2 linked regions of the Kluyveromyces lactis genome follow. The protein of the gene in region 1 interacts with the protein of each later gene in a biochemical or structural test. Links are inferred from orthologs where the notes say so. Each region holds a gene or a part of one and is shown on either strand. Other genes may lie near its edges.

Region 1 (3,873 bases):
ATGTATCATAAATATGAGCAGTTGATGGAAGACAAAGTGAAACCAGATTCTAATACCACTGTGGTTTTTTTGGGTGATTTTATTTCAAAGGGACCAAATTCAAACCGACTTGTGGAACAAATAATATTAAACGATGATGTAGGTTATGACGTGAAATGTGTTCTTGGCAACAACGAATTGAGAATTTTGTATGCATTGTTAAACCCTATATCATTAACTAAAAGGAAATTGATCAAAATCAAATTCTCCTCAGAAGACTTCCTGCCAGACTTACCATCCATCAACAAGAATCATCGCCGTTTAGCAAGAGAATTGGGTTGGGACAATCTTGCTCGATTGGCAGCTAAGTGTGGAGCTATGTGGGAGTTACAGGATCCACTATACGACAATTTCACTCTTGTAGCAGTTCATGCCGGTGTTCTTCCAGATCATTTAGGAAATCCTCCATTGAAAGAAATTACCGATATGAAATACGTCGACGTAAATGATCACTCTCATACTACAAGACAAAAATTCGAGAACGCTACACGATGGTATCATCTTTGGAACCCTTTAGATAAGAAGAAATATTCGATACACAATAAGATTAAAGTGATTTATGGCCATGATTCTTCTAAAGGTCTAAATATTCGTCCAAACACAAAAGGTTTGGATTCTGCTTGCTACAATGGTAACAAATTGACTGCTCTTGAATACGTTTGGAACCATAAGACGAAAGAATACAACCACATTATGCATCAAATCTCTTGTCAAGACTGAAAGTACCCACAATATCTCAGATACACGCACATTATGTGCCCATACATATATAAAGACTACATATAGAAAGAGTTTATCGATGTGTTACCCTGACTCGAACTAAATGAATGTTGCATCTTTTCCTCTGTGATGATAAAGCATCAATAATTGAATTTGAGGAAGCATTCAAAAAAAAAAAACAAAGGATGGCTGGCCAGCACCCAGAGATTACGAACAAACACGACATTTAGGAAATCCGGAATTCAGTGTAAACAAACGTAACCAAAACAAGTCTTTAACGCACACGCGAAGTAGTTAAGAGTTGCGTCAGCTACAAAAGTGAGAGACAAAGCAAGTTCACTCAGAGTAAAGATATTTACAGCACCGCGGGTCTTGTTTTGTTCATTGTGCTACCTTTCATTGTTTGCTCATTGGTTATATTTCTATCGTTTGGTTCAGTTAAAATAAGGTAACAATCAACGGGAAACTGCCGCCTGACTGTTTAGATAATATTATTCACTTGACTTGAGTCGAATGCGTTAAAGAGAGAAGCTGTCTCTACATTGGCGAATCCACGTATACCCTTTACTCATTTAGCAATACAAAACCAACGAAGGAAGATGTCACATGCAGATGATTTTGACACAGCCTTGGATTCCCCATCGGTTCAAATAAAAGAAGATGTAGGTGTTTTTGATGGAGTCTCGTTTTTCATTGACCCTTTGATCAACGACATGGAAGCTTTGGGCAATGCAGTTCGCAATAACGGTGGGGCAGTCTTAATAGAGGCTCCAGAGAAGAGTTCGAGAGAATGGGAAGCAGCATATTTTGTTTCCAAGAGGTATGATGAGGACTATAGAATATTTGTGCATCCATCTTACATTTTAGATTGTATTGATGCAGGTACACTTTTAAACGTCCATGATTACTTGGGTAAACCTGAGTCTTCCGGGTTTGTTCGGTTCGATTCTAACTCCATCTCTGATGAATATAACATTGGTAGTCAGCTATCCGATCTTCCTGGCTCTGACGTAACAAGAGCTGCAGTCAAGATAGCAACAGGGATCAACGAGTCGATTGATTCCGAGAATACTCGGGGCCAGAGAGAAATGGATTCTGATTCGTCCCCAGAAGTGAAAATGTCTTCCAAGGATGACGAAATAGCTTCTCATGACCAACAGCAACAATTGACCCACACAGATGTAGATGATGCCAATGATCTTATTTTACATGAGCAAGCAAGTTCAAGTCATAATAAATCCTCATTCACTAAAGAAGAGGATGAATTCATCCTTGATGTTGTCAGGAAGAACCCCACTAAGAGAACCACACACACATTATACGATGAAATCTCACATTATGTCCCTAATCATACTGGGAATTCTATCAGACATAGATTTAGAGTCTATTTATCGAAGAGATTAGAATTCGTTTATCAAGTCGATGAAGATGGTAAATTGGTAAGGGACCAGGATGGAAATCTAATCAAAACAGACATTCTACCGAATGGATTAAAGAGGAAATTTACAAGTGAAGAAGATTATAATTTGGCGGTTGCTGTGAAAAAACAGTTTTACAGAGATGCTTTTCAAAGAGACCCTGATACAGGAGCAAGCTTGATCGCTGAAGATGATGAACCTAACATTGTCGCGAAACGACAATTAGTTATGAATACAGAAATTGATCCATCAGAAGTACCTTCTTTCGAAAAGTATACTGTAAATGACCGCCGAGGACCATTGTCTCGTGAATTTTTCAAATTATTCGCACTTGAAGTACCAACCCATTCAGAAAATGCATGGAGGGATCGTTTCCGTAAATTTATTCTGCCTTATGGTATTGATTCATACATTTCATACTATGAGAAATGCATGGAAGAAGGTATAGAACCTGAGTCTATCAAAAATATGACCAACAGACCCAAGAGAGAAGGACCATCACCCGGAAACTATAATACGACCCTAAAAAAGAGTAAGAGATCTACCGAAGGTGGTACTCAGCAATCAACAGATACCAGTTTGAATGATTTCTTCTTAGAATCAGATGCATTCGATCTAATAGATGGTATTAGGCGTGATTTGCACGCAGCTGAAACACAACAAGAAGAGCAAGCACGTTCATTGTATGCTGATGATGTCGCGGAAAGAATTCGTCATCAAGTGGCTTTGGAACATGAAGAGTATGATAACTATGATTTTGATTCAATACCTTTCCCACCCAAGCTCGCTGATAATGATGATTTCTTTGATCATACCTTTTTCAATTTCAGATCTACCAAGGAGTTCATACAAAAGTTGGAAGAGATTATTACTAGGGAATATGATGAGTCACAAGCAGATGTCCTTGTTCATGATCTTGACGTTGAGTGCGGTATCAGAAAGAAATACGCTACATCTGTCCTAACTGCTTTAACTGGTGATATCTCATTGTTTCCAAGATACATTCTGACATCATTCAAATATGGAGTACATCTTCCGCAAAATGTCCCCGGTATATGGACGAAGGAGGATGATGTGATCTTAAGATCAAAGAATCCAGATGGAATGAAGATGCTAGAAAAGAAACATGGTATTGCTAGAATGCAAATGAGGATAAGGTTCCAAGAGAACAATCTAGTGTGAATAAACACTCTTGTTGTCTCACTTAGGTAACTAACATTTCCCTACTTTCATTATAATATACCGATTTTGGTCGCAGTTGTCAGTCTTTGACATGAAATTATCATACTTTATATGTAATGTATCGATCATATTTATGAGCAGAAACATAATGTACTATTTTATTGAGTCCTTGCTGCGGGGCCCTTCCTTTTGTATCACAAGTTCTTTTGATAATAATTCTTTCAAATTTTCACTTATAAGCGATGGATGATGTAACGGGGGATCTTCCGCTTCGCTCGTGAGCGGTATTTCATGTCCATTATACCCTGTACTTGTAGTCCTCTTGCTTATTAGTTCTTCCTCTCTTTCGAGAACTTCAATCATTTTCTGAAACTTTATAAAAAGAAGTTCGCTTCTTATCATGATATCAGACCAATCCATGCTGTTTCTCAAATCATTGAAATATTTTAACACGTCGTCAAACTCTGTTAATTGAGAAACGACGACATCGCTGTGTTTTTGTAATATTGCCAAC
Region 2 (3,969 bases), on another chromosome or scaffold:
TACCCTGATTTCTGCACTAGAAACAAACGCTTTTTTGGCAAATCTAAATCGACGTACAATAGGAAAGATTATCCTACTCACAGACCTACTGATTCACTCACGCAGTGACTCAACGGCGTATGGCTTTTCTATAGAAGAAGCAGCTGGCGTTTTAGAACGGTTTGCTAGTGTATCTGATGGGCCTTGCGATGAGATGGAGCAACGTTTGACGATGGAAAGACAAGTATCAGAACTGAGAAGAAGGCGAATTCCTTTAATTTTCCAACTTTCGTGCTTGAATTCTTGTTTTTTTTCCCAACTTCACCGTTTCATTGCTGTTCAACTTCGTCTCCTGACATTAGTGGAACCCCAATGGGATTATTTTTACATGAACCGGGTAACGAAATAGTAAAATAAGGGCAACGTGACTTATAATTTCTGTTATATTACAGACGCGGCACGCATTACCTCCAATTGCCACGTCAAATGAAGGTACCCCCGTAGTATGTACATTGGTAACTGGCATCCCGCAAAATAAGCATCCCTTCTTTGGAAGTTGAAAAACACGAATCCAGATCCAATTACTGGACTCCTACCCCTGGATGGAAAAACGAAAAGGAAGTCATTTGTGGGGGGTATGGCTTTGGCATCGTGAAATAGGGATCTTCATTTACCCACCCAAGGCCACTGCAAAATTCCCGACCCTTTAAAGCCTCTCCCCACTGTTTCTCTGTACACATATATTTTATACTGGGTTCTCTAGATATGTAGCTTAACTGCGTTCTGCGAGTAAAAATTAAAATAAAGTTCGAATCGAAGTCTAAAAACGTGCTGTGGACTCCGGGGCTGTTCAACCTGTTACCCGGAGATGTACTGAAAAGATAATTCTTGAATCCGTAAAACGTGACCTTTAATTCAGATCTCTAAATGCCAGTTACTTTGTGTCTGAGAGTAGTTTCCAGGTTGAAAGTTGAATATGGAAAAAAATAAAACTGAAAAATGTGAATGAATAAGTAAACAAATAAACAGCAAATGATTGCTAAATCATTGCCTTAGCAAGCTTGAACTATACCAGTACTTGAGCTTAGGAGTAAGCTGAATAAGGAACTAGGTATACTTGCTTAGCCTTTTAAAAAAAAAAAGCGTGAAAGAGAAGAACCTCTTAGCACAGTTTCCGGCTTGCTTAATATGTCTTCGAACGGCAAACAACAGGGAAACAAGGCAGGCGATGCAGCTGGGGGAGCGTCAGGAGCCACGGCTCCCGGTGCAGGCGGAAGTAGTGGCAATGGAAATAGTAGTGCGGCCGGAAATGCTAGCGCTAATGCCAATGCTGGCGGTAGCGGTGCCAGTGGGAATGCACCGGCAGCTTCTAAACCGGGGTTTTCAGCGTCAGATTTGAACCGCATCGTTTTGGAATATTTGAATAAGAAGGGGTATCACAGAACGGAACAGATGCTTCGTGCTGAATCGTCACGTACTTTGACGCCTCCAAATAAAAACGCTGCTGCTTCTAACACAATCCCTGCCTCGTCTGCATCAGCCACTGCGATTACAGGAAGTACTACCACTGCAAAACCTGTTTCAAATCCTTCGATGCCCTTGAAAAGAGATAACAACGGCCAATTGATAAAACCGCAACAGGTGACACCCTTGCACTATTTTAGAGCTTACTCAATGTTGAAAAATTGGATCGATTCGTCTTTAGAATTGTACAAACCTGAGCTATCACGTATCATATACCCGATTTTCATTTACGTTTTTTTACAGTTGGTCATCAAGGACCCCTTACAAGCGAGAAGATTCTTTGACAAGTATTCTGTCGATTACAAAGCCCTTCATGGATCAGAAATTAACCGATTATTCAGTGTCAACTCAGTAGATCACATCAAGGAAAATGAGTTGGCTCAAGGTTTCCAAACCAATAAATATAAGATCACAATCTCAAGAACTACTTTGAACCTTTTGTTGTATTTCTTGAACGAAAACGAAAGTGTGGGAGGATCTTTGTTGATTTCCATCATAAACCAAAACTTGGATCCAAATATCGTAGATGTTGTCAAATCTGAGGATATTCTCACCGACGGGATCAAAGATATCTCAACCGGTGATATTGATGTTGATACGTATAACTCGGTACCTGTGAAGTTAGGACCGTATCCAAAGGACGAAGAGTTCACCAAGGAAGTAGAGATTGAGTTGCAGAAAAAAGATGAACAAGAGGCAGCTGAGAATAAGGATAAACCTGTCGGTAAGACATTAGTTGAGGAATATAGAGAAATGAACGGTAATCAGAACAAACCAGAGGGCACTGAAAAAGCTGATGATAACACCGTTAAGGAAGAAAATGAAAATAAGGAACCTGAAGCTGAAGAGGGTGGAGAAGAAGTCGATGCAACAGCAGATACAGAAGAGAAAGGCACTCCTACACTTAGTGTCGAATCATCGGCTGCTGAAAGAAAGAAAAGAGACTCAAAGAATAAAGACGAGGAAGAAAAACCAGAGGCTTCAATTGGATCTATGATGGAATCACCAGCAAAGGATTCGTTGCCGCTACCGGTAAAAACAACTTTAGATCTAAAGATGGAAATTCAAAAAGTAAGGGAGAGTAGAGATTCCATCCAATTGAAAAACCTACAAACTTCTGCACCAAGTGTGTGTATGTACACTTTCCACAACACTAATGGTAATATGACTTGCGTAGAATTTAGTGATGATGCTAGACTAACTGCAGCTGGTTTCCAAGACAGTACAATTAAGGTATGGTACCTTGATGGATCACCGCTACAGTCGATCCTCCCATCCAAAGCTAAAGACCAATCGAACTCTGCTACTTTGGTAGGACACAGCGGACCAGTTTATTCCGTTGCATTCAGCCCGGATAACAGGTACTTACTTAGCGCATCTGAAGATAAAACTGTCAGACTTTGGTCTTTAGATACGTTCACTTGCCTAGTGTGTTACAAAGGCCATAACCATCCAGTATGGTACGTCAAGTTTTCTCCACTTGGCCATTATTTCATCACCGCTTCACATGATCAAACGGCTAGACTATGGTCTTGTGATCATATCTATCCGTTGAGAATTTTCTCAGGTCATCTAAATGACGTGGATTGTAGCACTTTCCATCCAAATGGTTGCTATGTTTTCACTGGTTCCAGCGACAAAACGTGCCGTATGTGGGATATTCAAACAGGTGATTCTGTTAGACTGTTTTTGGGACATACATCACCAGTCACCGCACTTGAAGTATCGCCTGACGGTAGGTGGTTAACTACGGGCAGTGAGGATGGCACAATTATCGTATGGGATATTGGTACTGGTAAAAGAATCAAACAGATGAAGGGTCACGGTAAGAATCCTATCTATTCCATAACTTTTAACAAAGAAGGTAACTGTCTAGTAACAGGTGGTGCGGATCAAAGTGTTAGAGTTTGGGATATAAAGAGGTTTACAAACGAGCCTGGAATGGAGCCGGAACAACAATTCAACACGTATTCAGGAGATATGGAACTCAGTGTAAATAACGATATCAAAGAATTCGGACGTAGGCGGGCAGTAATACCAACTCAGGATTTGATGGCTTCGTTCCATACAAAGAAAACAGCAATTCACAAAGTAAAATTCACAAGAACGAACCTAGTTTTGGCTGGTGGTGCATTTATTGAGTAAATGCGATTACTTTACTCAGCCAGATAAGGGTCGTTTATTCGACATATCTAGTAGTTGTCCAATTGTAATAAATAAAAAAAAAGAGAATGCGCTTTATCTTTATATTATTTACAATGAGTACGTATATTTTATGTGCATTGATATCAATGCAGTCAATGAAATGTAAATGTTAACAGAATCCTAATAACTAATCTAATATTGGTTTTTCAGCGTCCCACTGCTGTAAAATCGGATGTCCTTTATAATAGTAGCTTTCCCAGTGGATATAGTAATGAGGGATTCCAAATAATAGTAACAAAGATGATATTCCCAAAGGTATCG

The links.
Region 2: the proteins of RAP1 (region 1) and TAF5 form a complex in vitro, tested with the Saccharomyces cerevisiae proteins (2 studies listed by BioGRID, with this or other methods). The link is inferred for Kluyveromyces lactis from reciprocal best matches to the Saccharomyces cerevisiae genes RAP1 and TAF5.

What each region holds. Positions count from the first base shown.
Region 1 is NC_006040.1:1,620,862-1,624,734, reverse strand, and holds RAP1 (DNA-binding transcription factor RAP1), read left to right. Parts: upstream 1-1,358; coding exon 1,359-3,359; downstream 3,360-3,873. Other genes in the region: PPN2 (putative serine/threonine-protein phosphatase), read left to right, coding at 1-759; GTPase-activating protein GYP7, read right to left, coding at 3,513-3,873. UniProt on the Saccharomyces cerevisiae protein: Essential regulatory protein in yeast whose DNA-binding sites are found at three types of chromosomal elements: promoters, silencers, and telomeres.
Region 2 is NC_006041.1:2,087,349-2,091,317, forward strand, and holds TAF5 (chromatin modification protein), read left to right. Parts: upstream 1-1,167; coding exon 1,168-3,648; downstream 3,649-3,969. Other genes in the region: GPI2 (phosphatidylinositol N-acetylglucosaminyltransferase), read right to left, coding at 3,836-3,969. UniProt on the Saccharomyces cerevisiae protein: Functions as a component of both the DNA-binding general transcription initiation factor complex TFIID and the transcription coactivator SAGA complex.